Oryzias latipes: one gene and its partner. The protein of the gene in region 1 interacts with the protein of each later gene in a pairwise test. Links are inferred from orthologs where the notes say so. Each region holds a gene or a part of one and is shown in the gene's direction. Other genes may lie near its edges. The genes, in order: dapp1 and fxn.

Region 1 (15,936 bases):
GTTTTAGTAAAATTATGTTTACAAAGACCCTTAGCAAAAATAGTCCAAGTGTACTACAAGTCTGTTTAAATATTATAAAGTAAGGCAGTATACTTGAAGTTGACCTTTATATATACTACCTATGTATTATAAACGTAAATGACTTCCAACACTACATGTACATAGTCTTGGTGTACTTTTACTTTTACTCAATTATACTTAATAAAACAAACATTAAGTGTCGTACTTCCTGCTAAAGGAACAGTTGGTGGTTCAAATCCCAAACCCAACCCTCAATGCTGACACAGGTGTGAATTTGAACCCACAGTCTCCAGTGTCAGGGCAGACAAACAGACCCCTAACTCAGTCCAGGTTATTCCAATAAATCAGTTTATCTTCAGTGTGTTTTTTTAATTATGGTCTGTTTACACGAGTAGCTCCTGGAAGAGTTTTCAAACTACAAGGTTGGACATCTGTGGAGAAGCCCTGCAGTCACTTCATCAAATCCACAGGAATGTTTTTCTGCTTCAGGAAGCACAGGCATTGTAGACAGACTTCAGGAGGAGGTTCCAGAAACCATCGAAGCTCTTCAGAGGGCTGGCATCAAAGTGTGGGTCCTGACTGGAGACAAACAGGAGACAGCCATCAACATCGCCAACGCCTGCAAACTTCTCCGCTCCAGTGACCAGCTGCTGACAGCCAACTGTGATAACAAGGTCGGAGCAGGTCAAAGCTGGTGTTTGGGTCATGTTCCGGTGCAGGAGTGCACCCAAACACCAGGCAGCATGCGTTTGATCATGTCAGCATATAAGTGAAAACCACACAGCTTGCATGCTCCAAAAAATGTATTTTTTTCATTTTGAGTAAACCCAAAATATCCATATTTGTAATGACTGAATGAGGCAAGACTTGAGAGAGTGTGCACAAACCAGAATGTGGTCATCCTGCAACTTCATGTCAAAGCAAAATCCAGAGCAAGAAAACCCTCTCAGAATCAGTGGGTTGTGTTTTGTGGTGTTAAAGCAGATGCTTTACACAGATGTGCCTGTGGATGTTCTGTCCTGCAGGACGCTTGTGCAGCTCTACTCAACGAGCTCATTGTGGAGGTCCAGTGTGGACAAGAAGGTGTAAGCGAACAGAGAGAAGACCCGTCTTCTGGATCGACTGGCTTCATCCTGGCCATAGATGGTCGGACTCTGGACTGGGCTCTGCAAGAGGACCTGCGGAGCAGCTTCCTGGAGCTGAGCCGCAAATGCAAGGCCGTCCTCTGCTGCCGATCCACTCCACTGCAGAAGAGCAAAGTGGTCCAGCTGGTCCGGGACCATTTAAGGGTCATGACCCTGGCTGTGGGTGAGGCTACAGACCTTTTCACCAATTTATATACTCAGCAGTGGAAAAAAGTTGCATTTATAAATCTCCAGTTTACTGTTAAAGTCATGTAAAGGTTCAGAGACATAAAACATTTACTGGCAGTCTCTGCATTTCCAGTCAAGTTCACACGACTGTCCCAGAAAGGATCTGTCCTAGTCAGCCTGGCAGAAAACAACACAGAAAAAAATCTGGGATCCTATTTGTTTGCCTTTCACCATGATATAAATAATAAGCAGTTTAGTGAGATCCCCTGTTCTGTGTAGCTCTAACTGTGTCTAATACCATGACCAGTACCTAAGGACCTCTGACCTCAGACATGGTTTAGCCACACAGCTGCAGGCCCGTTTACCAGGTGTGAGGGGAACTGTTGGGTTTCCAGACAAACTATTCATAACCGACTTCACCGCTTTGACTGGAATGACAGACGACCATTGCTGGTGATTCTGCTGGATGTTTGCAGTGGACACAAGACCACGTGACCTGGACATTGACTCGTTAAAATATCCGTAACTTGTTGTGAGTTGTGTAAATTCAGTCATTTCTGTGGATCATGAAGGCTTCTGTCACTCCCCGCACTAAGAGTACATGAAGACTGTTTGAGCCAAAGCCGACGCAGCTCATCAAAAGTCACAAAAACACAGAAGATTAGATTCATCTGTATTTTTCTAGAACTTACTACCAAACAAAAACTTATGTTGTTTGGAAAGTGAGGGATGAGGTTTACGGATGTGGAGAAGAGTCCTACAGTCTGTGTACGAATGTCTGACGAGGTTTGCTGCACAGGTGATGGAGCCAACGATGTGAGCATGATCCAGGTGGCAGATGTCGGCATCGGCATATCCGGTCAGGAGGGAATGCAGGTAATCACAAAATGAGGGGGTGTTTACTTTTAAATGACCCTAACCTTGAGTTCCTCCTGAGCTCCTCACCAGCATGTCTCCTTCTCCAGGCTGTGATGTCCAGTGACTTTGCCATTCCCCGGTTCCACCTCCTCAGGAAGCTGCTGCTGGTTCATGGACACTGGTGCTACCATCGCCTTGCAAACATGATCCTCTACTTCTTCTATAAGAATGTGGTGAGTCCTTCGTGCACAGATGACGCAGAGCTTCCTCTTCTACCAAAATGTTGTCTGCGTAGATGAAGGTCACTTTTTTTGAAGCCATCCTCATCACCTCATCTGGAGATCTATTTTCTAACCCTGGAAATGAATTTCAGACTCATTTTTTTTAACACCCCAATCGTCTCCCCAATCTTTGAGTCAATATTATTCTACTTATTGAAAAGTCTTCAATGCAGGTTCCAAAGTCTTCTGCCTGCCCCCCCCCCCATATAAGATGTTCTATTTCCACCACTGACCTAGAGACACCTGATCCAGCTGATTCACCATGAAAACCTGCAAGCTGCTTGGTCTGAAGGAGCAGAATTTGGCGCCTCTGGTGTCAAACCAGTTTAAATGTCGATTTAATGTGACAGAGCTCATTCAGTAACAGATTCCCTAAGAAAACAGAAGTGCAGTCTGACTGAGTCTGTGCGTCCACAGATGTACGTCAACCTGCTGTTCTGGTACCAGTTCTTCTGTGGTTTCTCTGGGAGCGTCATGATCAACTCCTGGGTGCTCATCCTCTTCAACTTGCTCTTCACTTCCGTCCCTCCTCTCATCTATGGAGTTCTGGATCAGGACACGGCTGCAGACGCTCTTGAAGAGCATCCTGAGCTGTACCAGACTGCACGCTCCTCCAAGGTGAAAAAGCTTTCTTAAGCTGCCGCTGTCTCGATGGCTGAACTGTTCCGATGGGTTCAGGGTTCCTCAAAATCTCCTTAGAGGGTTTTTCTCAGTAATGTTTCACATATGACACCAAGGCCAGATATCACTGCCAGAATCCTGACAGAATACAGATTCAAACAGAAATCAATTACATTTAAAAGTCAAGTTTCTGTTCTTTAACTAATTTCTTTGGGGAAAAAAGGGTTTTAATATACCAAGTGATTTGAAGGTGAACATTTCTTCAAAACGATTTATAATTCTCACATTAAAACTTAACACAAAGGAAACGATAGATTTAGAGAATTAAAGAATTGATGTTGCAGATGAATGGGATTAACCAGCCCTGCATGAGTGCAGAACAACATGCTGAATTCATTAGTTACAGAGTCCTCCGGTTTGGAGGCCTATGGATGGATGGATGGACGGACGGACAGACGGACGGATGGATGGATGGATGTGCTTTTGATGCTTGGAGGCCATTGGATAGATGGATGAATGTGCTTTAGATATTTAAAGGCTGACTCTGTGAATTGATCCACAGGTCTACGTTCCCTCCATTTTCTGGATCACAATCCTGGACGCCTTCTACCAAAGCTGCGTTTGCTTCTTCATTCCTTATTTTGTGAGTATTCTGCAGCGTCAGTGAGGGTCATTGCATCGCTGGTTCTGATCCAAGTCCATCTGTTCTGCTTCTCCAACCAGGCCCTGGCAGGGTCAGATGTCGAAAGTTTGTCCTTTGGCTCCCCGATCAACACCTCAGCTCTCTTCATCATCCTGCTGCACCAAGTCATCGAAAGCCACACGCTGGTCAGGATCTGTGGAAGCCAAGTGGTTCTTGTAACGGGACCACAGTGCTGTGATGGACCAGAACCCAGATTTCAACCAATCGTGTGTTTCTTTCTGTGTTGCAGACATGGATTCACGCGCTCGTCTTGTTTCTCAGCGCTGCCTCCTATTTCGCCTTCGTGCTGCTCTTCAGCACCTTCTGCATCGTCTGCAGCCACCCCACCAACCTGCTGGGGGTGGAGCCTCGGCAGCTGAGCACACCCCTCTTCTACGTCATCTGTGCCGTCACCACAGTGACGGCCCTGATCCCCAGGTACAAACACACACTGATCTGTTTGTTCATGTGATCACTAAAACAAAAGAAACAAACTAAATGAAATAGAAAATGTTTTTTTCATGACATTTTCAAACAATCCATAAAAAGTTACATTACTTGAAAGCTAAACCATAAAAGGAACGTTTTAACCCTCTTTTCATAGAAACAATCAGACATAAATCAAAAGAGTACACTGATGCAGTTTGAATTTTAGTTTAATTGGGTCAAATTGATATTTTGTGAAAAGGATTTCGTTTAACTCACTGGAGCACATTGGAGAGGAGAGAATCAGTTTGGCGGACAGAAACTGGAACAGGAGGAGAATCATGGAGGGTTTGGGACAGAAGATCACAACCTGGCCTGATTGGTGGCTTAAAGATGAAGAAGCAGTGATGTCATAGAAGGCAGGGTCAGGGTGATGACATCATCTGACTCACTGATGCTGAGAATTCAGCAGCTTTCTGTGCTTCAGCGGTTTTTCTGTTAACTCCTCCTCTTGACACGTATAGTCTGGTGTTTGCTGTTCCCGTTGATGGACCTCCTCCTGAACCTCTGGGCTCTGCTTTGCAGGATTTTGTTCCGGTCTCTGTTTAACACCGTGCACCCCTCCGCTCTGTTGACCAAAGACCAGAGACAAGAAGCAGCTTCAGAGTCGTACCGCAGGAGGATGCAGCGCTGGAACCAAAACCATGCTAGAACCGGGCTCCCAGTGTGCGCCGACAACCCCGGCATGGTGCCCAGTCGGGAGGAGGTGCTGTCTTGACCATGTGGGTTTTCGGTGGCCCCTCCTGCCTGCCGCTCTTAGAACCAAAGCTGGTCTGGACTGTCCTCATGAGCGGCAGGGAGGATGGGAAGCTGCAGTCCAGGATGAAGCGCGCTCAGGCGGGCCGTGTTTACATGGCTGTCAGCTGTTTGACTGTTACGATGACGACCCGCCTCTGCTCTTGTTTACTCGCCGAGCTGGACTCCATGAGGCTGCATGGTGCCGAGGCTTCGGACTTCTTAAAGCGCTTCAATAACATTCTAGCCAAAGTGAAGATGATCAGGACAATGCTCAAAGAGTGGACACCGTTGTTTTTTTTTTTTTACTTTTATTTGTAATAACTGACCATTTCATGTTTTATATTGTTGAAGTTTGTTCAAATCAGATTTCATCTGTCTACTTTCTGAACCCCTGAATCCCTTTTGGGGGTCAGAGGGCTGCTGGAGCCTATCCTGTCTACGGTCCTGTTAAATTCAGGAACGAAACCAGGAAGGTTCTGATGAGACGGCAGGGTTCTGATGAACCTCTGAGCCAGGCATCAGTGCCCATTCTCTCAGGAGAAACCGTGAAGTGACCTTACCACTCCATCATGCACAAATGCTGCAATAGAAGTTTTTAGTGGAATAATGGAAGTTACCAATCATCAATGCTTTTGCAATAAACAGCTTTATGAATTTCACTTTTGTTTTTTGATCATGTTTTTTCTGACACAAATGCCTTTGAAGAGCCTTAAGTGAGACACAAACATCCATCCATCTTCTTCTTCTTCTCATCTGGGACCGGGTCGCAAGGGCAGCAGTCTAATCAAAGATGCCCAGACTCTCCTCTACCCGGCCACTTCCTCCTCCGGGGGGACCCCGAGACGATCCCAAGCCAGCTGAGAGACTTAGTCTCTCCAGCTTGTCCTGGGTCTTCCCCGGGGACCCCCCCAGTGGGGCACGACCAGAACACCTCCCCAGGGATTGTGTCCAGGAGGAATCCGGACCAGACACCTGACCTACCTCTACACTGTCTGGAGCTTTTGCCCCTGGTAGGGTCTCCCATGGCAGACAGGTCCTGGGTGACGAGCCAGACGAAGAGCGGTTTAGCCCTTGTGCTATCCTATGGGGTCAAGATGACCATTGACGTGTTCTCCCTACCATGACAAAGGTGGATAAAGGTGAAGAGGATTTCATGGAATCCATGGAAACCAGTGAAGATCACAAATCATTGAATAAAAAAGGTTCAGAGCACTGTCTAGTGCACATGTCCTGCATGTTTTCTAACCAATCTATCATTGAAGCTCCTGATTGGCTAAACACACCTGATCCAGGAAATTAGCGGCAAATGAGACAGGATTTCTGAAAAACCAGCAGGAGGTCGGCCCTTGAGGCCTAGAGTTTGACAACACTAGTCTAGTGGGTCTAGATGACCCACTCCCGATGTTAAAGTGCCTAGGATAGCACAAGTGTTATATTCACCTTTCTAAGAAGTACAAGATTCCACTTGTGACGCTCGGATTGGTGTCACCGTGGCCCCACCCTGGAGCCAGGCCTTGGGTTGGTGGCCAGTGCCCCTCCCCACAGCCCCTATTGGGTCCGGCCTGAAGAAACGGCGTGGGATCCCTCTCCTGTGGGCCCACTATTTGCACGAGAGCTCAAGTAGAAAAGCCTTTGGCTGATGTTAAAAAATTGGATGAAAGGTCTCAGATTTCCTACTAAAACTGTTGGTTCTGAACTAAACACAAAGTAGAAAAAACTCCATTTAAAAATCAATTAAAGATCCAGTTCAATAAAAATCATTTTTTGGTTTTTTTAACATGTTCGTGTTGCATTATTCTGACGATGGAGGACATGTATAAAGAAAATTAATTCATCCATTAATCGTTACGCGATATCAGAAGCAGACAAAAAAATGCATTCTGATATAGAAAGATTTTTGACAGAAAATCTGCTGGGCGGGGCCACAAGCTTCCTGCTCTGCTCCATTCTGATGCATCCACCTGCAGTCAAACAGATCCATGTACGTCTTTGTTTTCCTTCGTCTGAGCTGGAATCTGGATCTAAACTCTACGGCTGGATAGCTCAGATATTGCTGCCATTTTTGTTGCGCTGGAATGTGAGGGGCTGTAAGCTAGCGGGAGAGGGTGTAAACAGAGAGCTCTCAGGAAGGGAGGGAAGGGGCGGTCCCGCCCACAACTCAGAGGTGAGTTTCTAATGAACTCTGCTTTGGGTTCACATCTCCATTAAAGCACTCTTATCACCGAGCTTTTCTCAGCACGTGAACAGACATCCAGGAAATTTCCCTGACTGCTTTGTTGAAACAGGAAACAGTAGTATTAGGTCACCATACCCCCCCCCCCCTACAGGACTGGATGAATTGGGGGGGGGGGGGGGGGGTTCATGTCAAATAGATAAAAATAAACAAAGGAACATTCAGAGAGTGAACGGACAGAAACCGGCACAACCGGAACGCAGGTGTGGACCGCAGCTGACGAAATGTTGGGGGACGGGCTTCACATAAGCTCCTCCCCCTGGCATTCGACCAGACTTGAGTTGGTCACGCAGTTCACGCGCCGAACCATCTACATTCACCCGCGGTTCTGGTCGCGGACGGAGATCCCTGAGTCAGTGCGTCTCGGCGGGCGTGTCCGTGATTGACAGCTTTGACTTCCGGTCCGGCCGAGCCCCTCATCATCATCATCATCATCATCATCATCTTCATCCTCATCATCATGAGCGTGTACAGCGACGCGTCCTCGGAGGATCTCGGGGACGAGCTGCAGAGTCTGGGGTGAGTAACGCGTTACTCTCCCCCCGCTGAAGAAATCCGTTACAGTTTAGCGTTTCTGGCTTTGCACGCGGTGCTTTGAGGAAGCAACAACAGAGTTGGTTCATCATTAACTTCTGCTGCAGGAAGAAGTGCTACCGACCGTCAGAAGATGACGGTCCTCTCTGTTGGGTTTTCCAGAACCGCTGTTGTTGGTTGTCAGTCAGAACTTTCCTGAAGGAAGTGGACACTGAAACCAACCAATGAAGAACAGTCAGAACCCTTTGGAAAGCAGATGATGAAACTTCAGGTCTGAAGTGATGAAACCCTTCACTTCATCTTTGGTTGACCAACTTGAGTAACTGGAGAGAGTCCTGCTCCTGTCAGCAGATGTTCTGGTCCACTCCTCCAGAACAAACATCTCAAACCGTCTCAGCTTGGTGGACGGGTCTTTCTTGCAGGAGGGATGCTTCCTGTTTTTGGACCATTGTCTTGTTTGATCCCTGAAGACAGACTCCAAGCGTTCGGACATTTGGCACAGACTCTGACGTAGCCCAGACCATAAAGGATCTCCCTCCGTGTTTCACAACAGGAACCGACTGACGTCTTTTCTCCTTTCTGAGTGAACCAAGGGCTGTGGGAAACAGCTCTGGCTTTGTGTCACTCGTACAAAGGACGGTCTCCCATAAGAAAATTTTCTTCCAGCAGCGAGTTCCTCCTTGGGGACACTGTAAAAGTTTGGCTCAAACATCTGATAGTGGATCTGACTCTGATGACCTTGGTGTAGACCAGGGGTCTGCAACCTGGAGCTCTCTTCAGCCAGAAAGCCATACTTATGGCTTATGGCCTTCACTTATGGCTTTCTGGATGAAGAAAATAAAAACAATTATCATTTTATAAGAGAATTTAAGTTTAGTCTGTTAGACTTAGAAATGTATGGCTAAGATAGTTCTATAACATTGTTTTTAGTCGAGAGACCTTGTATGGAAGCGTTTCTGTAGCATAATTTAAAAAAAAAGTCACTACAGAAATGCTTTTCATTTTCAAGATGAAGCTGCTTTTGTTGACTCAAAATGAAAATGAAAAAGCAAATTGGCTTTTTCTTTTTCCTCTTAATCAAATGACTCAGAAATAAATTTAAAAATCCATCTTTCAAAATGCGTTTTCATTTTCTACATCGTTGTTGCGCATCTTGTGACATAAATAAAGGGAAAATGCAAAGAGGGGATTGCATTTTTGCTTCCATATCCCCCCGCAAAAAGTGTAGCAGAATTCAATCTAAGTCGACATTTCCAGGAGGGAGGGGGGCGATGACGTCAGTGCTAACTCTCTGTGGCTCGATGCGCTGCGCGAGCGAAGCATGTCTCTGGTCAATGCAGCCGGACTTGTAGCTTCGTGTTTGAGGCAGGGGAGGCTGCTTTGTGACAGTGGGCGCTCTGGAGGACGCTTTGTTTGTCCGGCTGTTCTTCGTGAGCGAGGTGCCGGACTCGGGAGGACCGTGTCTCCTCGCAGAGCAGCACCTTCGAGTCTGCTTTCAAAGACAGAAGTGCCGCTTCGGACAGTCCTGAGAAACCGTTCAAACAATCATGTGAATTTGTGTTTCCAATCCGGTCCAGACAAAATAAATGCTGGTCCTATTCCCACATATTTCGGCATTGGCCACACAGAATGTTGTTGGCACGTAATATTCGCTTAATCCTACTCCTTCTCCTGAACCATATGATATTTTTTACATAGACCCCATAAATCAGGTCCCCTGGTATTATTATGTCCCTCTCGGGTTAATGCGGCACAGCCAGCTTTCAAACTTGGTCAGAGAGAGATGGAAACACTGCTACAGCAGCCGCCATCAAGGGAGCTGAAGCAGAGACTTTCTCTGGGAGAATCTCACGAACTCAAACATGGAATCAGGATGTATTCAAAATAAATAAACCTGATCTCTCAACATTCTCTGTGTCTTCCATGCATTGTAATTGAGATAAACACAGACACTGCTCCATGTAGCAACCAGGCTAAAAACTTTAGCTGGTAGCTCCTCCCACACGCGGCCTGGTGCGTTCACGGAGCTCCAGTACATAGAAGCTTAGCGGAACTCCAACAGCCACACATATTTCCATGAGAAAATAAAAACCGCCGAACCGACCGCAAAGTCGCCCAAACTATGCATAAGCCATTTTTAACCGCAAATTTAGAACCAAAACGAACCCAATCTGGCGAACAGCGCAGACAAAGAGTGAGCACCTCCCCTTTGGCCCCCCCTCCGTCCTGGAAATGCTGACTGGAATTGAATTCTGCTACACTTTTTACGAGGGGAGGTGCAAACGATTGCATTTACGCTTTATTTATGTCACAGAATGTGCAATGTTGATGTAGAAAATGAAAAAGCATTGTGAAGGATGGATTTTTAATTTTATTTTTGAGTCATTTGATGCAGTTTCATTGTGAAAATAAAAAGCATTTCTGTTAGTCTAATTATAATTGTCAAATAAGATATTTGTAATGTAATTTTGCTACATATTCACTAGAGAACTTTTTGAAAATCAAATGTCAAATACCATTTTCTTTATCGTTTTAATTAAGAGACAAAATGAGCGGTATTGAAGAAGAAAGAAAGTGGTTTGGCGGATTGTTTTTCATTTTAATTTTGAGTCAATGAATGCAGCTTTATTTTGAAAAGGAAAAAGCATTTCTTGTATTGACTTTTATTTTTAATTATGCTACAGAATCGCTTCCTTATATGAAATAGCACCATCCCTCATTTCAAATGCAGAGCAAAGTCTTGGGGAAAAATTTCATCTTTGAGTTAAAGCGTACCTTTAAAACTATTTATCTTACATTGTTCAAAAACGTTTAGTGGCTGTCCAGAGGTTAATGAGAAAAATATGTCTTTGTACTAAATACTTTTTGTATTGGATCTTAAACTAAGAGAGTCCTCATTAGTTAGTAGGGGAAATGACAGCCCACCAAAGTAGATCTATATCTAAAAGAGAGGAAATGGACTGGTGTTTTCATTCAAGCACATTTGCTGCAGCAGATGTAGCTCAGGCTGTCTTACTGTTTGTTATAGGAACTCATCTGTGCTTTTGTCTTGTAAAAAACAATTTTATTGCTAGAACAGGGTTCTGCAACCTTTACCCCTCAGAGCCATTTGGATCAGTTTCCCAGAGAAATGAAAACACAGGGAGCTGCTACACCCTTTGGAAAAGCTGGTGTTTCCAGGGAACTGCATCATTTCACTCACTTTAAAAGTTCTTGAAGAGATGTTCATTTTTTATCCTCTGTCTTTTAACGGGTTCTGATGAGAACTATTTCCCCAGAGGCCTCAAAACTAGCAGATATGTGGTCATTAACCAGCAGATAATCCGCTTCTCCAATAGATTTTTGCAACAAACAACTATTTTCTTATCTGGATCAGGATGTTTTTGGGCTAAAGCTTCATGTTTATTATGGGATGTCTCACCACATTTGAGACTTTGTTGTTTGCTAATTCCTCGTTTCATATGAATCATTCTGGTAAAGTCGCTGAAAGCAAACATATCTGCAGGTGCCGTTAAACCTACTGTTTTCTTCAGGACATTCCATCCTTGTCCTGCCTGGGTCAGAACATTGTTGGGATCACACGTTGGTGGGAGTCGTGGCGGTGACGCAGGTCGATGGTCACACAGAACTTTACTTAGAAAAGTCTACCTTTAGATTTGTAATACTCAGCCTGTTAGTTTTTTGTTTTGTTTTTTAAAAGTCATGTTATGAACTTTTCCTGTTTACCGCTGGCCGACCGTAGTCTCCAGCACAGGGGAGCTGCTCCATGGACGAGCAGCTGCCCTGGTTCTGACCCGCTCCAGGGACGATCAGCTCACCTGGTTCCGTCCCGCTCCTGGTTCAGACCTGCTCACAAAAATACAACAGCTGGTCGATAGACGACCCGGAGAGGTTCTGCATGATGAGTAGGGCTGCACGATATGAGAAAAACCTGCGATTTGCGATATTAATGATCAATATTGCGTTGACGATATAACTTGCGATGCATGAAGAAATAGCAAAACAATCATTTACATCATCATTTACATTTCGTTGTAACAGTTTCATTTCAATAAACGTAAGTCACCAGTAACACCATAACTTAAATCATACTCCAAATGACCCTAATGTACAAACATCGAACATAAAAGATATCCATCAGCATGAAGGGATTTATTTGATTCGTTAAATTTTTCAAGGTGCCAGACGGTTGTTTTGGCACATTTAAAGTTACCATTTATCGCAATTTTTGTCGTCTTTTGCGATATGCACATACCGCGATAAAGATAAATTTGTGCAGGACTAATGATGAGGCTTTCATTCACTTCTCATTCAACATTTTAGGAGAACTTTCCATCCCATAACTGACTCTGGTCCGTGTTCTCAGCCGAAGACCCCCCCCCCTCCAGGGGATGAAAGAGCGGCATGCTGCTCCAGAGCCGCTAGAATAGCTTCTCTTCATTTTGCCAAGTTTTTTTAATGCTTAAGAGGCAAAAGTTCAGTTATTCTAATGATAAAAGAAAAGTACAAAAGTGCAGAGATGGTTACTCATTTGGTTCAGGAAAAGCCGCCCTGAATGGCTCTTTTTGGTGTTGAAGGTTGCAGACTCCTGGCGTAGACCTTAAGTCTTTGGAGATCCATCTCAGTAGTTTTGTGGGCGTGTGCTTCAAACCCAAACTCTGCTGCAGTTTCTAAGCTGGATCAAGCGTTAATGCAAGTGAAGAGCTTTCACTTCCCTCTGACTGTGCAGTGAAGCTCCGGATTTCTTCTAGAACGGGCACCCCCCTACCCCCCATATAGTAAAAGAACAAACCACCAGATTCAAATGACTCTGACTCAGGGCTGCTTGATGACTTCTATTGAGAAATAAACAGCTGTTACTCATCTGTGAGAGTAACCATTCTTGCCTGAAGCTCCCCTCACCGGGTTGGACTCTGTTGCCTTTAGAACTGCCTTAACGTGCCTAGTTTGTTCCATATTGTCATGACAGCATCATGCAGTTTCTGCAGATTTGTCGGATGTACATCCATGATGCCAATCTCTGGTTCCACCACATCCTAAAGGTGGAAGCCCCCTCCCTTGCTCCATTCTGATCCATCCACTTTCAGATGATTAGATCCATTTGCGTCTTTGTATTCTTTGTCTGAGCTCTAATATTGCTCGCCATTTTTGTTGCAGGGGTAATTTTATGTTGGGTTTGTTAGAGGCTGTAAGCAAGCAAGAGAGCACGTAAACAGATAGATGATGGGAAAGGGGGATGGGGTTGCTCCACTCAAACGGTCCTTCCCACAATTCAGAGGTGAATTTCTAATGATCTTCTCCCGTCCTGCAGAATATATGACATAGAAAACGACACAGGTCTTTAGATTTTGGCTAAAAACTGCACAGTCATGATTAAAAGAACACTGGGAACACTTTGAAAACAGTTCAAAAGATGATCAGAGTGGGACTTTTAAGTGATATTTATTAGGGATGCAACAATTTTATTAACCTCTTGAGACATGAGCTATTGTTTTATATGCTTTTTTAAACCTATTTCATAGTCACAGGTGATCAGAATGAAATACAGTTGGGGGAAAAAAGTGATGTCGAGCTATCTTGGGGTTAAATCTATTTAATGGTGTAAACTTCTGTTCTGTTTTGAATCCAGAATTGGGGCATCCCTAATATTTAGACATTTAGAGAAGCAATGGAGAGATGGAAATCATAAAAATCTTGCTCATGTCTTTGATATTTTGTCTATGGATCAGAATATAATTAAAGCATTGTCTGGTTCTTGTAGTATCCTCTAAAAACCAATAACTAAGAAGAAGGGTAGACCAGGTCAGAGAGATTGTGTAACTAAATTCGTTTTAAAAGCAAGAGACACAGCAAAATTATGGCTTCTCACTGGGAAAACCAATCTTTGAGCCAGAAAGCGTTACCAATGCACAATATAAGCACACAACACGTTGTATTTGTAGAAATGGTCAGGCTATGAGAGCAGCCTCCATGACCAGGAATCTCCTTTGTCACAACACACTAGACCTCTGGAAAGAAGTACTACCTCTGGTACAAAAACATCTCCATGTGTCATGGAGGGAGTTTCTGGCACTATGGCAACAACTATGCAGCAATAACAGTAGAATATTTAACTGTGTACAGAGTGAATTATTTAGTTTTTTATCTTAATACCATTGATATAATCATAAGGCACGAGGTCCAGATACAATATCTCCAGATGGTCAAGGGATTAAGCCGCTGGGCTTGATGGTTCATCTACTGAGGACCTACAGTTTGCTAGTGCAAATGTATTTCTACTAGTTTGATGACTTATCTTGGTCACAGATTTTTACTATGGTAGCTGCCGTGTTGGTTTCAGTGATAAAAAACATGGCGGTGTCTGTATGGTGGAAAATGACGAGTGAATTGGCTATTTTGTTAGAACCAGAAGTGAGTCATTTTCAATGGCTGACGTCCAGTTCCTATGTACAGTCAGTGGGGGCTTTTCTGGGTTGGAGGGGGACTCTGTCAGAGTGAGAGAAAGTCCAGATTATCTGCAGTGACTTCAAATCTTTGGACTACAGTCCATCCTGCTTGGCTGCTGCTGGAATTTGGACTCGAGGTTTAAGAAATGTTTTCTGTTTTTTTTAAGAAACCAAGAACGACCTCTGAAAAAAAAAAAACCTCTCCTGTAATCTCAGAGTCACTTTGCATGAGCTCGTTTAGAGTTTGAAGCTGAAGCTGGTCCATGAATCTGCTGGTTCTCCTTCATTCAGCCGCTCTATTCTGGTCCAAAGTTCAAATTCTTGTGGTTAAAGATTGATTTTTCTGAAGAGCAGACTCATTTTGGTTTCTTAGGTGTGTCTAAAATGTGATGGAGATCCTGGGGGCAGAATCAGATCTTCAGACTCTGGAGGCATTTTTCTGTTCCATTCTGAACCATCAGACTCCTCCATTGAATGCTCATATGCCGCTCCCTGTCTACTACAGGTGGTACCACTACGACCTGTCCCGCCACGCCGCAGAGGCCCTCCTCCTGTCCAACGGGTTGGACGGAAGTTATCTCCTCCGGAACAGTAAGGAGGGTCCGTCCTGCTTTGCCCTCTCTGTCAGGTCAGTGGGCTGCTCTTTCAGGTTCAGCTTGAACTGGACATGCAGAGACTCTTAGGCTCCTGCTGGTATTTCTGGATGAAAAGGACAACTGTGTTCTTGTGGGGTTTTATGTCTGGGCATTCTTTCAGAATCAGATGGTCATTTGGGCTTTGCTGCATTAAAAAAACCTGTTCTGACATGGACACGCCCTCAGGTCATGTGACCTGCTGCTTTGTGTTGGGCCCATATTAAGCTAGATACCCTAAAATACAGTCAACACCATTCTAGACAAAAATTATGTTGGCAAAACCCCCCCTTTTTTTCTTTTTTTTTTAAGGGGAAAAAGGCGGGATTAACGGCCTGCTATTTCCCAAAATACCACAGCTTTATAAATGATGGAGAAACCCTGTGGTCACATGACCTGTTGATTTCTTATTGGACATCGTTTTACCCTTACTTTCCTGAAAATGGACAAAAATATGTGAAAAACAAACCATGGCGGTGAATCCAAAGCTACTAATTTTAATGTCACCTGTCAATCATGAAGGTCAAGCCTTCATTTGGTTGAGTTATAGAGGTTTAGAACTGGGATGAGTTAGAGTGTCTAACATTGAAGTGAATGCAGACGGACCTAAATGTGCAACACTCCCCTGCTGGTCACCCGATGAACTGATCTGGCTCCAAATTTTGTTCTAAAGTAGCCTCAAACAGGAAGTGTTTATGATGGTCAGCAACACTTTTATGTAAAAAATTCATTTCTCTTCAGGGGTCTGTGGAGAAATTCATTCCCGTCGTAATTCCATGAGAATTAGGAAACAAAAATCCTCTTTTTATGAATCTTTTATTTTGAAAACTTTGAAAAGCAGGAAGAGTCAGCGTATTATGATCAATCTGCATGCAGGACTTGATGTGCAAATCTTTGCACATCTTTGCTCCTAAATATCCTGTTTTTCTGCAAACGTTGGTCTTAAAATCATCAGTTGTTTGAAGACGTTTTTTTTCCTCTGGGACGGGCAGAGCAAAGGATTCTGTGAAGCATTTTCATGTGGAGCGCAAAGACAGCGTCTACAAGTTCGGCTTCAACGAGTTTCCCACCCTCCAGGACTTCGTCAGCCA
Region 2 (15,750 bases), on another chromosome or scaffold:
TTGATGACCTTTGAGTGAAAAAGCCCTGGACTGAGGTGGGGGGGCTGTTTTACAGTTTGAAAACAGATTTGGAGTTGAAGGGTTAACCCTTGTGCTATCTTAGATGACCCCCCCCCCCCCCCCTTCCATTGAGGTGTTCCCCCCACCATGACAAAGGTGGATAAAGGTGGAAAGATTTCATGTAATCTATGGACACCAGTGAAGATCACAAATCATTGAAGAAAAAAGGTTCAGAGCTCTGTCTAGTGCAGGGGTCGGGAACCTATGGCTCGCGAGCCATATATGGCTCTTTTGATGGTCACATGTGGCTCGCAGACACATTTTTAATTTTTTCTTTTTCATTAGACCAGTCCTTCTCGGGCGCGATGCGATGGCAGAGGCGCGCAGTAGTAGCGGTGCTTGGAGAGAAGGATCTGCGCCAGCATTATCACTTTACTATTATCTATTAATTCACAGAGTTTGTACCACCCGGAAACCTGTGAATTGCCGTGCCTAAAACTGCGCGCTCCCGTCTCTGAGAAAGAGCGCGCAGATGCGGGGACGGGATGTGTGAGGGAGAAAGCAGAGGGTGGGGGTGAGGGGTTGTGGGGACAGCAGGTGAACCGCGCAGGGATTGTAAAAACATAAAACCTGCTGCCCGTCACTCACTGCAGCGTGTGAGTGTGTGTTTGGCTCCACGTCTGCATGTGAGCAGTCTGTCTCACATCTACAGAACATTCAGACCTAAGATCACGTTTAAAGTCTCAACGCCTGAACGAAGCAGAAACTCACCACGTATCAACCAGACTAGACCATCAGCAGAACCACCACGAGAAATACTCATCATTTATTAGCAACAGCATAACAATGTTATTAAAAATAATCCACAGACTTATTGTACTTTAAAAGTGTTGAAATTATATCAAATGCACACATTCACTTGAATATTTAGTTTTAAACATATTGTAGCGGACTGAGTTTAACTTGGCTGTTGGGCCGCGTTAAAAGTTCTGGAGTTCCTTGAACGCATCAAGCACAGATCTGATTGGCTCTTAGTTCTGTCGCTCAGCCTGTTGTTAGTTAATTTGGACCAATGGGGTTCAGCTATGGGCCGAATAAGGGAAATGGGAGGCCTGGAGCGGGAGGGGGGAATATAAAGTTGGGAGAAGTGCTCTCGTCTCGGCAGGAGAGATTCAGGAGCTGCTGAATTAATTTACGGCATTTGTTACAGCCTGCATTAACCAGAATAAAGAACCTTAAAAGAGGTTAAGTCTCCATGTGGGAAAAGGACACTACATTATTGTATGGCTTTTTCGAAATTACATTTAAAAATATGTGGCGTTTATGGCTCTCTTGGCCAAAAAGGTTCCCGACCCCTGGTCTAGTGGGTCTAGATGACCCAACTGTCTAGTGGGTCTAGATGACCCAACTGTCTAGTGGGTCTACATCAGTGTTTTTCAACCTTTTCTGAGCCACGGCACACTTTAACCTTAAAAAAAATCCCGCGGCACACCAGCATCCAAAAATTAAAAAAAAGGAGAAACTCTAGTCTGTATTGATCTACAGCCCCTCCCTCCACAATCTTACATGCATTTTTGAGATAATTGTGTCAGAAAAAGCTGGAAACTGTTTTTTTCTAACAGATTAAATAAAAGTTAAGTTAGAAGATTTAAAAACTGGTTGTGTGTTCGTTGGTTTCAAGACGTTTAACAACAGATCTCCTTGTGCCCTGTCACTCTCACAACCCAATGCATCATGGGAGATGTAGTGCATAAAACGGCCAGAGATCGGTTTTCGGAGCTTCATGGTTTTGTTCACTTGTTCCACGGTCTGATACCGGACTCTGTGGAAAGCTACACCGCTAAAGACGAGCTTTAGCTGCTATGTTTTTTAGAACTGAGCGACTTTACGAGCTAAATCGGGACAAGGAAGTGAAGACTTTAACCACTTCTGATTGGTCAGACTGATGACATGTGATTAAGCCCCCCAGGAATGATTGGTGGAGACAGTTAAAGGGACGGGACTTTTCCAAAATACAGCCGAAGGTGCAGCTGAATCGCGGTACGTCGTTCTTATCAAAATGTATTTAATAAAATAAAATAAACGCAAAGAAAAAGTAATTTACGATCTTTTATATTCCTAACTCCTCAGTGTTTTATCAGGGCCTGTTTGGATGAACAGAGAGCTGAAATCCTGGAGATGGAAATGTTTTTAGATCAGTTAATGAGGGCAATTTTCCACGGCACACTTGTGGAAAAACACTGGTCTAGATGACCCCACTCCCAACGTTAAAGTGCCTAGGATAGCACAAGGGTTACAGTGAGGAATTAAAATGACATTTGTAGATTAATTCTCTATTAAAAAGTTAATAAAATCTTTTAAAAATGGAACTGATTTAAGTTTTTCAGCTGATTGTAAACAAGAACATTCCTCTTTCTGGTTAAAGAAACGTTTCACATTTGGGGTCTAATCGGTTTGGTTTTGGCCAATGGCTCCTCTTCCAACAGATACCGGTTTTCCTGCTGTCTAATGGCACACTCGGACGTTCTGACCCGGTTCCTGAACCCGTGGGTCCGGCTGCTGCCTCTACAAACACACAGACGCGTTTGAGGGAAGCTTTTATTTGCAGTTCCTTCAGGCCTTTCAGGTCCTGGTCTCAGCGGCGCGGAGGACAGCAGCAGCGCCGTCTCGGGCCTCCTGAAGCAAAGCGGACGCTCTCCTGTGTGTCTGCAGAACCAGAACCGGAGGTCAGGGCCTGCCTGGAGGCGAGGCTGCCAGCAGATGTGGGCGTACGTACCGCTGCTTTGAAGGCCTCGTCGGTGACGTCGGTGAGGTTAGTCATGATGTTGTAGTACGCTCCAAAGGCAGCCGCCTCCAGAGCTTTGGCTGCGACCTGGACAGCACACACCGTCAGAACCTTCATGGTTTCCACACATGGGGGGCCTGAAGGTCTGCATGCAGACTCTACAGCTTATGTGGCATTTATGTTGGACAGGAAACGTGCACATAATCCATCAACTCTAGCCTCTAGTCTGTCTGAAAGCCAGACTCAAATTTCAGCAAAAATGTCTGCAGTGCTCGTTGGAGGAGGAGGCGGAGCTTCATGAACCACGCCTGCAGCATCATTCTCACCTGAGCGTCAGACTTGCAGCTGATGTTTCCATGGACGACCATCTCCTTCAGATGAGGCCAGAGGGCGCTGATCCGCTCCGCCAGAGCCTCCGGGACGGCGAGCGCCTGCTGCAGGCCGTCCTGCATGGCGTCTTCTCTCCTGACAGGAGCAGAGGAGCATAAAACCACTGACACGTTGGCTCCAAGTGCTGCAGCTTTCAGCGCCACCTTCTGGCTGACATCCGTACCGTTTCTTTTCCTCCGCCGTGTTTTTTGGCATCTTCAGAGCCGCCTGCAGAAACACGACAGCCGTTTGGGTCAGACCGGGTCGTCCTGAATGTGCGGGAAGGTTCTGGGTTCTCACCATGTAGCTGTTGAAGGCGGACGCGTCGGCGTCCACCATCTGCAGGAAGTCGTTCATGGCCCGATGAAGAGGAGGAATCAGCTTCCTCATCACTCCGTCCAGGTTTTCATACTGCCTCTTCCCATAGGTCATCTGCCCCACCATGGCCCCCAGCGCCGCCCCCTACAGGTAAAACGCAAGATGACGATAAGGACTTGGATGTGGACGCCGTCAGAACTTTGAGAATTTCCCACCAGAGCAGCGATGGCAGCAGAGACCGATCCTCCTCCCGGAGCCGCCGTTCGAGCTCCAACGCTGTGAACAAACTGCCGCAGGGTCAACGAGCGCAGCTGCCCCTCCTCCTGCCCCTTCACCATGTACCTGCATGTAGGACGCAGCACCTTTAGCTCCCGCTCCTTCTGCTCCTGCGTGGGCGATCAGACTCACTCTATGATCCTCTCCTTGGGGTTGAACGGGCCGAGGGAGTCCAGGCCCAGTTTACTGACCACCTGCGGGCCAGAACATGCGGTTCTGTCAGTCGGAGCGGCTCATCGGGTCTCCACACACGGTTCCGTGCTCACCAGTCTGACTTTGTGCTCCTCTTCAAGGATGAAGAGCTGATCTCTGTGAATGTAGAAGTCAGCAGCGTCCAGCAGAGCCTTCAAAGGGATCAGACCCACGATCTGAGAGCCCACCAGCGGCAGCCTCAGCTCCTAGACGGCACAGAGCAGCTGAGGCCCAAGCCTGGACCACCTCATGCTGACGCCTCACCCACCTCTGCTGCCCTGCAGACCTCCTCATACACGGCGTGGAGGGGGGTCACCTCATAGTCCAGGATGTTGGTGGACACCTGGGCGATGTTGGCCTCCTCCAGGTACCAGCCCATCCCCTGGACCTTCTTCAGCAGGCCGGGCTGAGCGAGGAGGACACGAGGAGGAGATGCAAGTTCACTCATCTATACCTCCTTCTATCCACAAACATCTGCAGTCATGACCAGAAAGACCAGCAGCCTGGCTGTTGGGTCAGAAAACAGTTTATCTGCAAAAGTTTCTCATTTAAACTCAGGCGGGATGAAGCGGGTCAGCAGAACCCAATCTCTTCCACTTCCTGTCACCACGACGGAGTTTCTGACAGCTGTCTGCTGGAATGTGGGACCACTCCTTTCTAAATAGTTCTGTGTTGAGACTTTCTACAGATGTTCTATGGGATTCAGGGTGGACTGGGTTCTGAACCGTGGGATTTGGGTCATGGTGGAAGCAGCTTTCTGACGCTGGACTCACCAGACGTCATGATAACATTCTCACGGTCAAGCCGTCCAGAAGCTCCGCCCTCTTTCGGCAGCCTTTGAATACCTGGTTTCGGTTCTGTCATCAGTGCCGAGCCGTTCTTTACCAAAAGGTTCTGGTTCTGTCTCATCTGTGAGTCTGTTCTTTTTATCTACATAGAACTGAAAGGTTATCCATGTCATGGATGTACGGCTCTAACGATAACGGACACAACGGCACAGAGATGTCTGGAGATGGACGGGAAGCCCTGAGGTTGTCCATGTCCAGAAACCCCCACACCCCTTTACCCTGCATGTGGGGGGGCTCACTGACGGCACTAGAGAACTAGAGCCACCAAGGGCTCCTAAAATGAACCTACGCTATAACCACAGTCTGACTGCAGGTGGCGCCCTATTGGGCCTTTATAGATCTTCAATGGGAATCAGGTCTCCTCTGTTGCCATGGTGACAGCCCGTCAGTGGAATCTCTTCAGCAGGAAAGATTCCTGAAGTTTGTGGAATCTTGTACAGAACAACAGTTAACAGCAGTTGACTCCCAGCATGCACCTGGTTCTGGCCCCGGCCCTGCTCCCGGATGTCCAGCGCCACACGGTGAGCCTGCTCCTTGGTGCTGATCAGGTTCACGTTGTACGCGATGAGGAACTTCCGCGCGCCGGTCACCGTGGCGCCCCACGACGGCACGAAGGCGGCCGGGCCGAAGTCGGGAGTCCATTCCTGCCGACTGAGCTAAGAAAAGACGCGGGAATGAAGCCTGAAGACGTGAAGCGGCAGGTTTCCCAGCCTCACCTTGTCAGGAAGAGCCTCGTACTCTCCAGCACGCACAGACGGGAGCGCCCTCCTTGCCGGCGTGCCAGCCGCCTCTCCGTAGAGGTAAACTAAGAGGAGAAAGAGCCTCAGAACCAAAGCAGAACCGGCACGTCTGCTCCTCTGGGAGGAACCACAGGGAGCCTCAAAGCCCCGAGTCCATGGTCTCCATAGGAGGAGCCAACCTTTCTGTTCTACACCTCCTTCCAACCTCCTGTTGTTCCTCTGGAAGGATTCGAGTCCAACTGAAAAGGCTTCTTCATTCATCCGTTCAAATGTGTTATGCTTGTTTCCACATCATTAGTGGAACTACACAAACATTTGAACAGACCAGGATTGTGAGGTCACTTCCTCCTCATTACAAAGCTGGACTCCCAACGAACACAACTGGATCCACAAGGTGTGGAAGCACACGTGTGCTGATCTGAACACGCAGCACTCAGGTGTGCTGTAAAAGGCAGCAGGTAAGCTCACCTGTATCATTGAAAAATGGAAAGCTAGAAGAAATGTGAGAATGGGAGGAGGAGGAGGTGGAGGAGGACTTGAAGAGTTGCTCCAACCTGAACAAAGACGCAGAGGACCAAATTTGACTCAACAAATCTGTACAACACTTCTTGACCGCGACCTAAACCACGGACTGACTGATGGAAGCAGGTCAAAAGGTCAACCAAATCTCAGCAGAAATACTGTTGCTTCAGACATTTCATCCAGAAACAGGTAAGACAGCCACACAGTTCACTGACACTCAAGCCTGCCGTACTTGTAGGCTGCAAGGATGTTTTAACACTTGTAGTATATTTTTTCACATGGCATTGAGGGTCGAGGACGCCATGGTGGAAGGGGCTCTACGTTCCCCCGTACACAAGAGGGCGCCGCTTATGGCCAATAATTGCATCAGGCTGCCAGAAGTCCAAGCCAATCATGACTGATGGCCGTAATCACAATAACATCCAAAGAGTCTCTCTGTCACAATAGCTGGAAAGAAAAATGAAGAACACAAGAAAAACTGGATCAGAACCATGAGACAGACGGTCAGAAACCAGCACGGCTCATTTTACTGCTGGGTTTTGGGTTCTGAGGTTCTGGCTCCAAAGACATGCACAGGAGATGTGGAACAGCATCCTGGTGTCTCTTTCAGAGTCTTGCCAATGGCTGCAGATCAAATTCAGCCTGGGTTTCTACGCCTGGATGAGGCGGATTTACCCCCAAGACCAGGGAGAAATGTGATTGGACACCGGGCAATGACCAACGCGTTGGTGCTGGACCCCCCCTTACCTGGAACGTGCAGCATGTCCGCCAGCTTCTGTCCGAAGGCGCGGGAGCAGCCAACGCAGTCGTCCATGGTGACGTTCTGGACGGGGATGAAGGGGCAGACGTCCAGCGCTCCGGTCCGCGGATGCTCACCTGATGAGCAGGTAACACAGCTTCAGCGCCTCCTGCTGGGCAACGGCGGCCTGAACGGGGGGGTCAGACTGACCTGAGTGCTTGGTCATGTCGATGAGGCTGAAGGCCTGGCGGGCGGCGTTCAGCGCCCCCTCTACCACTGCATCGGGGGGACCCACGAAGGTGTAGACGGTGCGGTTGGTGGAGGCGCCGGGGTCCACGTCCAGCAGGCTGCAGCCCGCGGTGCCGGAAATGGCCGCTGAGATGGCATCGATCACCTGAAGAGGATGAAGTCCACTGACGGTCAGACGGCCAGCAATGATTGACAGGTGTTACACATTCACAGACACAGCAGGAGGCCCGCTCCTCCAAAGACCGGTCCGGTCCGGGTCGCTGTTCTAGTTATGTAAAAGAGAACGTTAGTCTTTGGTGACACGCAAAAAACTCCAGTGCTGCAGAAAGAACCAGAACCAGTGGTGAGCTGAGCCGGCTCGTCAGTTTGGATTTCAACCTCCTTCTAGGAGGAAGTTTCCTGCTGGTTGGTCCGGTAAACCAGAATTTCTGCTAAACCTGAACGCTAAGATGGATCAGAGGAGGGAAAGCAGCTCCAGAAAGGAAGGTCAAAGGTTACGGAGAAGTCCAAAGCCCGTCCCATCAGAGCGTCTGCAGCAGAACGATGGTTCTATCTGTGCTGAAGCTCCGCCTTTTAGAATCATCTGACTGAGAAAACAGCAGGAGAACATGGAGAACAGAGGGAGTACAGGAGGAGAACTGCTTCAACACCAGACTCACGGCAGGAACCCTGAAAGGATTCTAGAGTCCAGAATCCTGCAGTGAAGTTCTACAGTGAATGATGAGGTTCTTGATCTTCTGGTTCCGTCTGGAGGGATCTCTGACCCCCACATGAGAAGAACTGCAGTGGTTCTGGACGTGAAGCCGGACTTTACCTCCAGCTCAGTTTCAGTTCTGATTCCACATTCGGCTACGCCTGAGGATCCAAGAACCCAGTTTGGCAGCGGAGGAACCAGAACCAACAACCTGCAGAACCTTAACGGTTGTAGTTCCTGAATCTGGAGGATCCAGATGAAATGAGAACGCTCATGGACCCCCCCCCACATGATGTCTGGACCCAATCAGAACATTTCCACGGTTTCTTACTGGTTCACAGAGAAAAGCATCAGAGAGTTTGGCGAGGAGGGGGGGGCCTCTCGAGTCTGGACGGGTGGCGGTGCGTCTCACCTGCTGGTTTCGACCCTCGGAGAAGTTGGGGACACACTCCACCAGCTGAGCCATGGCGTCTGCAAACCGCAGGAAGGCGGCAGCAGGTCTCTCAGCGCTCCGCCAATCATTCACAGAGCAGCAGCTGATTGGCCAGCTCCTCCCGCAGGTCAGACGCCTCCTCCCGCAGGTCAGACTCCTCCTCCCGCAGGTCAGACGCCTCCTCCCGCAGGTCAGACTCCTCCTCCCGCAGGTCAGACTCCTCCTCCCGCAGGTCAGACGCCTCCTCCCGCAGGTCAGACGCCTCCTCCCGCAGGTCAGACGCCTCCTCCCGCAGGTCAGACTCCTCCTCCCGCAGGTCAGACTCCTCCTCCCGCAGGTCAGACGCCTCCTCCCGCAGGTCAGACGCCTCCTCCCGCAGGTCAGACTCCTCCTCCCGCAGGTCAGACTCCTCCTCCCGCAGGTCAGACGCCTCCTCCCGCAGGTCAGACTCCTCCTCCCGCAGGTCAGACGCCTCCTCCCGCAGGTCAGACGCCTCCTCCTGCAGGTGGCGGTGGAGCAGACGCTGCAAGACTCTTTCTGCTTTACTAAATGGAGACATGTCTGAGTCCAAACATGAATGTTTGATCTGGGATGAAGTTCAGGGTCCCACATGCCCCCCCCCCCCTGTTGATTCAGAGGGTCAAAGGGCAGCAGAGTCCTAGCTGCTGGGATGAACGTTCAACCACAGGGCCGGAGTCCGATAGTACTGTTGGGTGATGCAGAACCAGAACCCCGGCAGCCTTTCAGAAGAGGAAACTCCATCTCTGCTCCCATGACTGAGTATCACCCTCCCCAGGAAGGAAAATCCTCCTGGAGCAGAGTCCCGTCAGGAGCTTCTGGCTGTTCGGTTGGAGGAAGACTCTAAAGGTCTTTAGTCCTGACCTGCCATGCCACTTCCTGTTTCTTTGTAGTAAACTCATTCATCTGATCTTTCTTTACTGTGTTTTGTTGCGGTTCCGGTTCCGTCCAGCAGGTGGCGGTGAGGCGGATTCTGGGTCCCTTAAACCCACGAACAAGAGCAGAAGCAGCCGGTGACACTCTGCTGCGCCTCACCTTCATCACCTTCATCATGTTCCTGAGCGGCAGCGCGCTGCGCGTGTCCGCTAAGGTGTTTCCGCGGTCCGCTAGGAGAGGCATGGTCACGTGGCAGCAGGTAACCCGCGGTTAACGTAACAGTGCAGCTGAAACCAAACTCTGATCCCGACTTTGTTCCAGCTCCCGACTTCCGCCGTAGCGCCGGACTGGGCGGGAATCGAACCGCCGACCCGCAGACACAGAACCGCCAGACCGGCCCACGCGGTCTGGCTGTTGTCCAGAGGAATTCACCTGAGCCCCGGGGGGCGGAGTCAGGGGGAACCGGGCCCGGTCAGGTAAATTGCGGTCACTCTGCGTGGTGGGAGGGGTCACGAGTGCCACCAATCCCACAATGCTTTGCGGTCATTGAAAGCCAGAATTGATCATTATTAACCCTTGTGCTATCTTAGATGACCCCCCCTTCCATTGAGGTGTTCTCCCTACCATGACAAAGGTGGATAAAGGTGGAAAGATTTCATGTAATCCATGGACACCAGTGAAGATCACAAATCATTGAAGAAAAAAGGTTCAGAGCACTGTCTAGTGGGTCTAGATGACCCAACTGTCTAGTGGATCTAGACCAGTGTTTTTCAACCAGTGTGCCGTGGGAGATGGTCAAGTGTGCCGTGAAAAATTGCCCTCATTAACTGATCTAAAAGCAATTACCATCTCCAGAAAATCAGCTCTTTGTTCATCCAAACAGGCCCTGAACACTGAGAAGTTAAGAATTTGAAATATCATAAAATTATTTTTTCTTTGTGTTTATATGATTCTATTAAAGACATTTTGATAAGAATGACGGGATACCGCGATTTAGCTGCAGCTATAAGTGTGTAAGGAAAAGTCCCGCCCCTTTAACTGTCTCCACCAATCATTCTTGAAGGCTTAATCACATGTCATCAGTCTGACCAATCAGAAGTGGTTAAAGTATTCACTTCCTTGTTTCGATTTAGCGCAAAAAAGTCTCTGTTCTAACAAAAATACCAGCTAAAGCTCGTCTTTAGCGGTGTAGCTTTCCACAGAATCTGGTATCAGACTGTGGAACAAGAGAACAAAACCATGAAGCTCAAAGACGCTGGTCTTTCTGCGGTCGGCGGATTACGGGCACTACATCTCCCATGATGCAGTAAAGTGACTGTCTTAGCGCACAATGAGTCTCTCCTCTTAACGTCTTAAAACAACGAACACACATCAAACAGTTTTTGAATCTTTTGACTTAATCTTTAATACATCTTTAAGAAAAACAGCTGCAGCTTCCAGCGTTTTCTGCAACAATTATCACAAAAATGCATGTGAGATTGTGGAGGGACTGTAGATCAATACAGACTGAACTTTTTATTTTTATTTTATTTATCTATTTTTTTGGATGCTGGTGTGCCGCGGGATTTTTGTCAAGGTTAAAGTGTGCCGTGGCTCAAAAAAGGTTGAAAAACACTGATCTAGATGACCCATCTCCCAACGTTAAAGTGCCTAGGATAGAACAAGGGTTACTAATGTTAGCATGACACAGCAGAAAAGGATCTTTTGTAGTCACTGCTACATTTGTAGTCCGTTGCTCAGAGACGACCCTATAGAGAGAAATTAGACTCAGTCGGATTTGTGCGTAATTCTTGATTTGTGCGTAAATTAGGATTTGTGCGTGATTTGTTACTCACATAATACGTTTTGTGTATAAGTTAAAAAAATACAAAATGCAATTTACGTATGCACAAATTAAGATTACAACAGCTTGAAACTACTTACACACACACACATCTTTAAAAAACACGCACGAATCCCTTGTTACGCACACACGAAGCCAAAGTTACGCACGGATCTACCCTGAGACTGTTTTAACGTCTCACAAATTCGTCCGTAAGTGCTGCGTTTAAATACCAGTGGAATGCTCGGTCATTAGAATTTTCCTATATTTAACTTATACACAAAACGGATTATGTGAGTAACAAATCACGCACAAATCCAAATTTATGCACAAATCCGACTGAGTCTAATTTCTCTCCAGACGACCCCGACTATCATCTTACATTCAGTGAGAAAAGACCAAGGAGATGATCTCTGAGAACCGTTAACATCATCGCCATAGAAACGCTCACCTCCTTTAAATACCTGGGAGTACAGGTGGAACGTCTGCTGAACTGGAACCCTGACTCTCTCTGGGCCCGTCTGGCCCAAAGGAGGCACTTTTGACCACGTCTGAGTTTCTTTGGTGTCAGCGGCCGATGATGTGGACCTTTGACTCATCAGGACTTGAAGGCATCATCCAAACGGTCTGTGTGTCTGTTCCAAACCAAAACAGGAGTGGCAACACGGTGAAATCAGCCATGAAGGTCATTGGTACACGGGAAACTCCATCTGTGTGTTCCGTGACACGTCTGGGTCATGAGATCCTCAGTGATCCATCTCAGATTCTGTCTTCTGACTTTGAATTATTGCCATCTGCTTCAGAGCAGCTGAACATGAAACCAACCGAGATAAGAAGGTGTTGGTTCCATGAACAAACGGTACCGGTCCAGAACGGCCTCTGGCTGTTGTTTATTCCGCTCTGTGTTGTAGCTGTGGGCTCCTCGGCCCAGGACAAATGTCCCTCACGGGACGGTAAAGTATTGATGATGGTGGTGGGTTGTGGAAACCACGGCTGTGTCCAAATCTCAGGGCGGCGTTCTTCCTGGCTGCATTTGAAGTCGCTTACGTCACGGCGCCGCGACAAGTGCGGTCCAAATCCAACGGATACGGCCTTTTTCTAAATTCAAGGATTGGTCTGGGGAATCCTTCTATGCTGTCCATATCCCAAGATGCATTGCGGCCGAGCCCGGAGATTTTTTGACAACAATGGCGGACTGTGAAGCGGAACCTGGACTTGGAGCTAATTTTTAGACTTACTGCAAGATTAAAAGTTAAGCCAGGTAGATTTTGAGCTCCATGCCTGGTTCACTACTCACGGTTGCTAGGCAACAGGACATTCGCCAAGGTAACGGCTGAATTTCTCTAAAGGTTAAACTCGTCCAAATTCACAGTTGTAAACATCCGACCCACCAACGTCGCCGGCCGCTGGAGGACGCAGCCCTGGAATTTGGACACGCCCACAGAAATGACGGCTGAAGTTTGCTAAGTTCAGGAGAAGAAAAGCAGGCAGGAAGGCAGATGCTGCAGAAGTTTGGTAGCTGTGGCTCACTACTGCCCCCGGTGGAGTGGCTGACCCCTGTCTCTGTGTGACAGCCGGCTGTCTGAAGCCGCCTATGAGAAGCTGGCTGAGGAGACTCTGGACGCTCTGGCCGAGTTCTTCGAGGACCTGGCTGATGAGGACGTGGCTGGAGAAGAGCTGGACGTGCTTTTTTCTGTGAGTCACACACAGACGCTTCTCCAGTAATCCATAAAATACACCACCACCAGATCAGTGAACAGAACCGGATCAGAGGCTCACACCGAACGGTCCTTTCTGTGTCCAGAGTGGCGTTCTGACGGTGAAGGTGGGCGGAGACTACGGCACCTATGTCATCAATAAACAGACGCCCAACAAACAGATCTGGCTTTCTTCTCCAACCAGGTGAGACGAGCCGACAGCAGGATGGAGGGACGCTGCACGGGCGTTCATCACGAAGAGATCCCCAAGGCGCCTGATTGGGCCCTAAGATTCCTATTCAAGTTAAGGACAGGAAGTCCAGAAGGATCAGTTCTGGACTGTAGTTTTGTTGAAGGAAAGCTTTGATTGGTTAAAAAAAAGACGGGGGAGTGGCCTTTATCTGGGCCCCTGTGGGGGGAGGGGTTTACGGGCTTCAGATGGTTCAGAGGCTTCAACACTTAGTCGGTGCTTTGGTCAGGCGTCTGGTTTGAATGAACAGATGTTAAATGGTCCGGACTGAGGGTAGAACTCATCCAGAACTTTGTAGGTCCAAAGCGTTTGTTCTACATGACACAGAACATTCCAGCAACACGGTCTTGAAGTTCCTTCTCTGTTGCAGCGGGCCGAAGCGCTACGATTGGAGCGGCGAGCGCTGGCTGTACTACCACGACGGCGTCAGCCTCCACCAGCTGCTGTCCCAGGAGTTTTCCCTCATCTTCAAGAGGAACATCAACCTGCTGGACCTCCCTCATTCCTGAAACGGACCTCTGCGGAGTTCCGCCACTGTCGGCTGAAGGAGCCCCAGGTTTGATCCCAGAACACCTCAGAGGAACCAGGATGTTCCGGAGCAGCCCGCGTCACGGGGAAAAGAGCGTTCCTCTTCCTCTGCAGGTTCTGCTCTGCCGACAAATCAACACTTTAAGACCCGAGTCTGAACCACGTCATGATCCAAAAGACGGTTCCTCCTCCCCTGTGCGGTTCTGCTTCTTGTCTGTGCTAGAACGTCGGTTTCTGAAAGTTGCTTTGAGCCAAAGTCAGGAGGTGAAACAGGAATCCTCAGATTCTGCTGAACAACGTCAGGAAGAAGGAAACCAGTCGGGTCTCAAACCAGCAACCTCCTCTAGACCCGCTGCACCACAGCCCTGGGGGGGGGGTATTCTGTCTAATGTGAACCCTCATAAAGACTTTCAGACGTTTATCACAAACCTGTTTCACTTCTAGTCCCAAATGTTTTAGATCCTGGCTTGGAGGCTGCAGGAACGTGGAGGAACGTTCGGTTTCTGAGTTCTAAAGGTTCTAAATGTGGTTCTGCTCGGTTCCATCTTCAGGCTGGACCGTCTGGTACCTGCAGTAACCTGCAGAGGCCAGCAGGTGTCAGAAAACAAACATTTGAGGACCTGCAAACATTTTTGACCGTTTATTTAAAAACACATGAAGAGATTCCAGATGTTGGAAAGCCAGAGCGTCAGTGAATGCAGCACGAGTTTGGCGTGGAACGGCGACGCCGCCAGCATCAATCTGCTGCAGGTCAGAACCAGCAGGAGATCTTTAACGGCAAAGACGCAGGAATAAATAGGAGCATGTGGGCGGAGTCTTTTCTCTGAGCGGCTACATGCGGCGGAGGCTGGACCGTGGTCATCCGTCTGAGCGCGCTCACAGGAAGTACGGCGTGGTGGTCCGGGGCGGGATGACCCTCTCCGAGTCCGGCACGGCTCTGAAGAGCTTGGGTTCTCTGGTGGCGGCGTCTTTGAAGACCATGATAGAGGCGATGTTGCCGCAGCGGTAGCAGTAGTTGGGCGCCGACCACACGGTGACCAGCTTCTCATCGAACATGAACTTGTAGCCTTCATGGACCAGCTGGTGGGCGCGGCAGATCAGCTTCAGGTTGTTGATGTGAACGAACTGCAGGACAGAAGAGGGGGAGGGTGAGCTTCACGCCCGCAGCACGCCGCCTGCTGTGGCGCCCGCAGCACGCCGCCTGCTGTGGCGCCCGCAGCACGCCGCCTGCTGTGGCGCCCGCAGCACGCCGCCTGCTGTGGCATTCATATCAATCATAAATATTATTGACGGGGAGCTGTGGGGCAGAGGGACACCTCTCATCAGAAGTTGTTAGGTTCGATTCCCGCCTTACCCTATGAGGCAGATTTTGTTCAATTGAAGGTTTAGAAAAGGACGTGCTGGTTCTTCGGGTCAGCAGGGTGGACCCGGTGGTTCTGGAGCAGAAACTCGTACCTCGTTGGTGACTTTGGCACCAAACAGCCATCCGGCTCCTCGGGGGCTGATGGCCCAGGTGTCCACGTCTTCAGGGTCCGACCACACCAGGTCACAGAAGGCTCCTTTGTGGGGGATCTCCTGGTTCCGCTCGATGGTTCGGATCTGGTCCAGGGTCTTGATGTCGGGGGAGAGGCCGCCGTGCACGCACAGGACCTGCTCGTCCATCAGCTGGGAGGAGGAAGACGAGGAGGAAGGTGAGGAGGAGCTCAGACCTGTTCATTCTGGACGTAAAACAGAGAAGGAACGTTTGTACGAACCGCTGCCACCGTTAGCATGTCGAACACTTTGGTGCAGTAGCGCCACGCGTTGGCGTTCCCATATTTGGTCTGACACTCATCTGCAAGAAGAAACAAATCCTCAGCAAATCCGTTACGTAGCGGCTGATGATCCCTCTGACCTCACCGTAGAAGCCGTAAACTTGCGTGATCTGTCTGCTTTCATGGTTTCCACGCAGAAGCGTGATGCGGTCGGGCCACTTGGCCTTGAGCACCAGCAGGTACGTGAACGTCTCCAGGCTGTAGTAGCCTCTGTCCACGAAGTCGCCCTGCAGAGCACATGTCAGGAGCTCCGCCCACAAAGGCTCAGGAGCCCGCGTGAACTCACCATGAAGATGTAGTTGGTGTCGGGAACCTGGCCGCCGGTCCGGAACAGCTCGCAGAGGTCGTAGAACTGAGACAGACAGAGTCAGACCAGCGGAGGCTAGACGCTGCAGCAGCAGGTGACCGCCTTACCTGTCCGTGAATGTCGCCGCACACCGTCACCGGAGTGGACACGGGTTGGACGTTGGACTCCTCCAGGAGAAGATCGCAAACGTAGTCACATAATCTCTGTAGAGAAAGGGGCGTCAGCCTCAGACGGGTGAAGGAAAAGTTTACAACTGCTGCCATCGTTTACAGA

The links.
Region 2: the proteins of dapp1 (region 1) and fxn interact in binary tests that used the Homo sapiens proteins (3 or more experiments, as listed by UniProt). The link is inferred for Oryzias latipes from reciprocal best matches to the Homo sapiens genes DAPP1 and FXN.

Annotation. Positions count from the first base shown.
Region 1 is NC_019880.2:24,362,667-24,378,602, reverse strand, and holds the start of dapp1 (dual adapter for phosphotyrosine and 3-phosphotyrosine and 3-phosphoinositide), read left to right. Parts: upstream 1-7,420; 5' UTR 7,421-7,693; coding exon 7,694-7,752; intron 7,753-14,718; coding exon 14,719-14,841; intron 14,842-15,837; coding exon 15,838-15,936. Other genes in the region: atp10d (probable phospholipid-transporting ATPase VD), read left to right, coding at 511-695, 1,047-1,329, 2,134-2,210, 2,300-2,425, 2,891-3,091, 3,657-3,737, 3,818-3,922, 4,027-4,214 and 1 more. UniProt on the Homo sapiens protein: May act as a B-cell-associated adapter that regulates B-cell antigen receptor (BCR)-signaling downstream of PI3K.
Region 2 is NC_019867.2:418,629-434,378, forward strand, and holds fxn (frataxin, mitochondrial), read left to right. Parts: upstream 1-8,932; 5' UTR 8,933-9,032; intron 9,033-9,138; 5' UTR 9,139-9,234; coding exon 9,235-9,318; intron 9,319-9,380; coding exon 9,381-9,535; intron 9,536-12,455; coding exon 12,456-12,576; intron 12,577-12,685; coding exon 12,686-12,783; intron 12,784-13,198; coding exon 13,199-13,337; 3' UTR 13,338-13,777; downstream 13,778-15,750. Other genes in the region: ftcd (formimidoyltransferase-cyclodeaminase), read right to left, coding at 2,623-2,706, 2,777-2,872, 3,112-3,250, 3,339-3,382, 3,455-3,616, 3,688-3,814, 3,881-3,942, 4,015-4,146 and 6 more; serine/threonine-protein phosphatase 6 catalytic subunit, read right to left, coding at 14,233-14,481, 14,812-15,021, 15,111-15,190, 15,256-15,397, 15,457-15,522, 15,585-15,680.